2 linked regions of the Xenopus tropicalis genome follow. The protein of the gene in region 1 interacts with the protein of each later gene in a pairwise test. Links are inferred from orthologs where the notes say so. Each region holds a gene or a part of one and is shown in the gene's direction. Other genes may lie near its edges.

What was found. The genes of interacting proteins can lie anywhere in the genome.
Region 2: the proteins of hprt1 (region 1) and iscu interact in binary tests that used the Homo sapiens proteins (3 or more experiments, as listed by UniProt). The two-hybrid records come from large-scale screens. The link is inferred for Xenopus tropicalis from reciprocal best matches to the Homo sapiens genes HPRT1 and ISCU.

The regions. Positions count from the first base shown.
Region 1 is NC_030684.2:68,454,740-68,458,400, forward strand, and holds part of hprt1 (hypoxanthine-guanine phosphoribosyltransferase), read left to right. Parts: intron 1-1,503; coding exon 1,504-1,550; intron 1,551-1,676; coding exon 1,677-1,753; intron 1,754-3,201; coding exon 3,202-3,249; 3' UTR 3,250-3,661. UniProt on the Homo sapiens protein: Converts guanine to guanosine monophosphate, and hypoxanthine to inosine monophosphate. Transfers the 5-phosphoribosyl group from 5-phosphoribosylpyrophosphate onto the purine.
Region 2 is NC_030677.2:146,320,133-146,322,764, forward strand, and holds the end of iscu (iron-sulfur cluster assembly enzyme ISCU, mitochondrial), read left to right. Parts: intron 1-207; coding exon 208-286; intron 287-1,081; coding exon 1,082-1,164; 3' UTR 1,165-2,105; downstream 2,106-2,632.

The DNA.
Region 1 (3,661 bases):
AGCCAGGAAGAAGGGGTCAATGGTAGTAATAGAATTTATTGGGGCGGGGGTATTAGGAAGACTTGGGGAGCAAGAGATGTGCTATAATGTTAGCCGGGAAAGCGGTAATAAAATGTACAGGCACATCTGCTTCAGAACCAACTTAGATTGCTCATAGTTTGTACAGAAAGACACCATAAAACTGACAGCATAGGTATTTCTCTGCTATGAGCACAATGCAGCAGTTTATAAGGGCCTGTTTTCTTCCCGTCTGCCTTCACATCAGCACAAACTGAAAAAGAAGTCTTTAGGCCTTAATAGGATAGAAGGGACGGCCCTATAAATTGTTTTCATCTAGTGTTCTTTATGTAATGAAACACAGCATCATCTGATAAAACTGACCCTAGTGTGTTTGTGTAAATGCAATAGGGACCCCTCTGGGGCAAGGATTGGTATGAATAATGTATAATCTATTCAGTTAGATCCTCCCAGAAGGTTGTGAAAATATTCTATGAAATCATCAGCAGCCGTCATAAGCAGAAAAAGTAGGAGCTTCTGTAGAGCAGATAAACCAGATTGTAATGCACAGCATTTATACTGTTGTCAAATAAGATACACTCTTCTAGTTGGGGCGTTTTTGATCCCAAAGTTTTGGAGGCAATCGATTAACCTGTCCAAAATTATTTTTTTCTCTGGTATGTGCTGCAAGGAGATGTAACAGAAAGAATTAATATTGTGTCTACCTTTAAATTGTCTTTCCTTCAGTCTTCTATGGCAGCACACAGAATTTCCCCCTTAAATATATCTTGTGTGAAAGAATCTTTGTCCTTTTATAAATACTGGAATCCCTTCCAGTAGAGCGAAGCTGAAGAAAAATTAAATTTAATGTTTAATGAATTTCTCAATTTGATTCCTTGTGTGAACATGAACACTAGATAAAGGACATCAGTGCTTATATGAGTAAAAGCAAAGGTAACAAGATGTATATTGTGTATGTGAAGGAAAGGGTGAGAATAGAATTTGCAATGTGAACATGTGGTAAAAGTGACTGGAGAGAGAAGGGTGATTACAGCCAGGGAACCCTGCAGTGATCATACAGTTCATTATCGGACAGTAAAATGAAATAGTGTGGATAAAGGCATCAGGGACAAAATTACATTTAGAAAAGACATGAACCGTTGGAGAATCAAAGAAAACACAGTGTAAAGAAAAGTAAAGCTTTTTGTTTTAATATTTGCTGCTGACTATTTTATTTTTTTGAAATCCAACATAAGTAAGTTGACATACTTTGCATGTTATGTAAAAGTCTTAAAGGGGATTGCCACCCAAAAACTTGCACAGTGAAATACAATGTAATTGTTTTCAACTTTTCAGTATAATTTTTTGTAAATGTAGTCAGTTCTCATTCAGTTCTGTTAATCAGCCAGATGCTGCTACATTGTTTTAGGAGTCGGAATGTAGAAAATAATTAAGCGTTTCTGTAATCTACCTGATGCCATATCTCTGATCTCTCTTTTTCAACAGCTTGCTTGTAAAAAGAACGCCACGAAGTGTGGGATACAGGCCAGACTGTAAGTAGTTTAGCAATGTCACATATTTACTATTACAGCAAACAAGTGCACATGCTATATAATGTGATTGTTATCTAAAAAGACAACTGTTTTTGCGTTATTTTCTTTTCTAAACTTTCTTTGTAGTTGTTGGATTTGAGGTGCCAGACAAATTTGTTGTTGGTTACGCATTAGACTACAACGAGTACTTCAGAGACCTGAACGTAAGTAATTATAGGATTTGCACAGTGTACTTTACATTATTGTCTGCTCACTGCTTGACTATATTACCCAGCATGCTTGTTAGTACATTGGGTCCCCAGTGATGGATAGAAATGTAAAAATAACAAACACACTTGTGGGGATTAAATCTCTAGATTTAACTACATATCAAGTAGATTGAATTAAACCCAGGGTTAGGAGCATACAATATCCCCCCCCCCCCCATGTGGGGTGAATTGATTCTCAGGGGGAAAAAATATAATTGCAAAGAAAAAGAAAAAACACCCCAAAAGAGGGGATGCAAAAAATGAATCAAATCTTGGGTCATAACCATTTAAAAGCACACCTTTATTAATTAAAATCATTCTCCAATTTAAACACATAAATAGGGAGAACAGGAAAAATATATATTGTAAGCATACAAGCAACTTGATCTCACAGTCACCCCAGACACATGATGCAACCCGTGCAATCTCAGACCATGTAAGCATACATAGAAAGGGGGCAAACCATCTCCAAGTGGAAGTCATTATGGCTTACTGTTGTCCCACTCTCCCAGCAGGCTGTGGCCACTTTCTCAAGTCTGACCAATAATTAGAATTTTCTATGTATGCCTGAGTTGCATGTGTAGAAGTCAGGTATCACCCAATTATGAAGGGACAGTCCCAATGAAAGTCACAAGTCCAGTACAAAAATACATATAACCAGAGAGACACGCTAATGTAGGTCGCCAAAAAGTGATCGATACTCATTAAAGATGCCTTGGCCAATCTATAGCCAGGGAGCATGGGCTGGGAGAGACGATAACCTCTGTGCATACCGCCACCAGGCTTCTCAGGAGGTACAAATATATATATTTTCCTGTTCTCCCTGTTTCTGTGTTTTTACTTGGGGAACAGTTTTATGGTTTATGAGCTGAGATTTGATACATTTTTTTGGAGGGGGGCTCTGCATCCCTTTTTTTGTTGTGCTTTTTCTTTGCGAAGGATAGAAATGCATCGGTTACGCTCTCTTTCATACCCGATGCATTGTCATGTGCTGATGTTGTTTTAAATAAATAATATATTCCAGAAGTTGTGCTATTAGTGATCCAAATCTGAGATTCTGACCCAAACTGAATCTTATTGTCACATGACTTTAAATTGCTGGGTGGATGGATTATGCAGATATTTGCACTCAAATTAAAATATTCAGCTTCGGTTTGTGTTCTTTAATATCCTTATATTTTTATTTGGTGGAATCCAAAAGTGGTGGATTTAGTAAATCCCTATTTTTTTAAACCATAGGTTTCATGAACTATACATAAGGCGCACATCTAGGCTAATCTTTTGATGGGCTTTAGTTACACAGTAATCCATATTATAATGTGCAGTTCAGAGAGGTGAAAATTGTGATTATCTGAGCTGGGTGCAAGTATTTATCAATTATTTTCTTTTCTTCTCCTTTTCAGCATATCTGTGTGATAAGTGAAGATGGTAAAGAAAAATACAAAACATAGACAGAACCTCTGGAATTGTCTGTTTGCCAGCTTTTTACAGTAAATAATGGATTTGCTGCCATTCGCCCCCAGAAACCTGTTTGCTTTGTATCTCAGACCCCTTCCTGCATGAAAGAAATTACAGCTTTCTCCAGAAGTTTGGCTATAGATTTCTATACATTGTTTTTTTAAGTTTCACATATTGTATTTCGAGACAACATAAATGTTGTATCAGAATTTAGCATGTTAATGACCTTCAAAGTAGAAGCCCGCAGGACACCGCAGCACATTACATTAATGGTCCTTTAAAAAGGCTGGGTCAAATTTAATATCTGGGGACTTGTAAAGGAATGTTTAGTTATGCAAAAAAAAAAAAAAAAAACAGCATTACAAAATGATTTAGCTAGTAGCTAGGCTACTGCCTGTCTGTGTG
Region 2 (2,632 bases), on another chromosome or scaffold:
CTTGGATGTTAAAATAAGTCACTTACACTTATAATGTAAATAGCATTTCTTTAATACTGCTCTACTGCCACTCTAAAGTTTCTAATGAGTATATTCAGATAGGCAAGTCATATACACTTAGACAGGAGTCATTAGACTGTTTAGGGTAAAGTAATGGCCTGTTTTTTTGCTAATTAATATTGTATTATTTGTTTATATTAAACACAGGTTGATGAAGCTATGACTATCAAGAATACAGACATAGCCAAAGAACTCTGCCTTCCACCAGTGAAGCTGCACTGTTCCAGTAAGGGTCTTTGCTCTGTATTACCAGACTTATGAATGTTATCATATTTCCTGCATATTTTTATGTAAAAATAATGCTTTTTATAGATTAGGCAGAAAATGTTTGTCTCAGCAGCTTCTATGATCAGGTGCATAGATTCACTAGGAATCCTTCACTAGGACCCAAAGTAGATTTTCATTTACTTTTCCAATGAGGTGTACAGAATAGTGCTAAAGGTGCCATAACACACTGACTAAGCTTTTTGACAGCTGTTTTTTGAAGTGTCACTCTAATTCCATAGGAGAGGCAGTGGAGTTTTCATGTGGTGATGGCACTGTAGGTGAAAACATGGGAAGAGGGAATTTTTTTGTCACCTTTAACAGTGATGGCACACACGGAAATTAGTTGCTCAAAATAAATCTTCACTACCATGGGCAACATTAATGTAATAATTTAGATTGCTGGTGGGAAAATGTATGCATTTCTTTTGATTGCATATTTATCCTGGGCGGGCGACTTTCTGGGGTGCCATCACTCTAAAGGGCATAGTTGGGAGGCTTATATCCCACTGCTCATTATATATTGTTTACTGCAGCAATACTGTCAACAAGCAACCAAAGACAAGGTGCAGGGAATGTTTCAGAGGCTTTTAACTAACTCACTGCCACAGTTAACAAGACTGAAAAATATTTTATTTAAACATCTTGTATTAGTTATGAACTAGTTAATATATTTATCTAACTCTTCTGCACATTATTTCATCTCTGATTTGTCTCTTGTAACCTTTTGTGCCTATGTTTTTTCCATTTTATTTAGTGCTGGCTGAAGATGCCATCAGAGCAGCCCTGGCAGATTACAGACTGAAGCAGGATAAAGACGAAGCTGCAGCAAGTGGCTAGCTGAGCAGAGTGTGAGCTCTACTATAATGGCAACATTTAGTCACTTTATGCTGTTCTTTTGGGTATTAAAGCATGTCTTTACCATTTGAATGGCAGACTTCTGATACGCACAATTATTTAGCAGCTTGTCAAACTGTGTGAATCTCCTCCTAATAATGTGATTATTTTCAATTTGCAAGCTGAGTATACTTAGAGTGTATAAACAAAACTATTTTGTTCTTTATTCCCTAATGTCCAAGACCTCCACCTATCCTCTGTTCACATGTAATTTCTGGTTTAAACACATGGCACTACATTACAGTGCCAGGTTTGTCATACCTTCCACGTAAAGTAATATAGAAATTTCATCTAGTCATCTAGTTTTTGTTTAAGTATTATTGGGAAATGCCACAACGCACATCTTCAGATGCACAACGATTGTGAGGATGTGTGGTTTTTCCCCGTCTGTTTCCAGCACCCTTATGTTTGAGTTCTTGATAAGTCTTGTACGGTTTTGTATATAAATGGCTATGCATTCATAATACAATATAAAACCCATGCTGAATTACAAGAATCAAACAAACGTTGCCACTGTGTTCTGATCCAATTTGTGTGGCTCTTACTGAACTGAAATGCAATTGTTCTCAGAAAGGTTCATTTTTGAAAATTAAATGTCTGACTGGAAGCCCCTGATCCCCTCCTTCTGTTACCAAGACTGGGTTTGCTAAGCCATATCCTGCCAGAGAAAAGTACATTGAGTTAATTACATTGGGCCTTTAATAGGGAGTGGCATGTTCCAGGTATCATACCAGCAGCCCTGAAAATTCCCCATTTTGAGTACTCAGAATGATACTGGTAGAATCGAAAGCAGGGATTATATGATGCTTCTTAGTTTTGTATGCAGTGCATTTGACCAGCTGCCTTTTGCTTTTGTATATATTTGGTAAAAGATAATAAAAAAAGAAAGTGTTATATGTGTTGTCTTTTTGTATTTTAGATAGTTTGCTGCTGTGTGGGTGTGTGTAGATATATGCATATTTGCTAACTGTACAGCATGGTATAGGCACCATTTATGCCTGATCCATAAATTATGACAACTCTTTTATAATATTTTAAATAGTATGAAGCAGGAAGCACAGCCTTAATTGGGTGGTTCACCTTTAAGTAAACTTTTATTATGATGCAGAGGGTGATATGCTGAGACAATTTGCAATTTTATTTTTATTTTTAATTATTTCAGTTTTTGTTCAGCAGCTCTCCTGTTTGGAGTTTCAGCAGCTATTTGGTTGACTGATATATGAATAGGAGAGGCCTTACTAAGGTAACAATAACAATAAAACTTTAGTTTCACAGAGCAGTAGTTTTTTGGCTGCCGGAGTCTGTGACTCCTGTTTAAAAGCTGCAAAAAGTTAGAAGACAAGTAATTCAAAAACTATAAAATAAATAAATAAGACCAAAAGTTGCTTAGAATTGGGCATTCTATCAAATA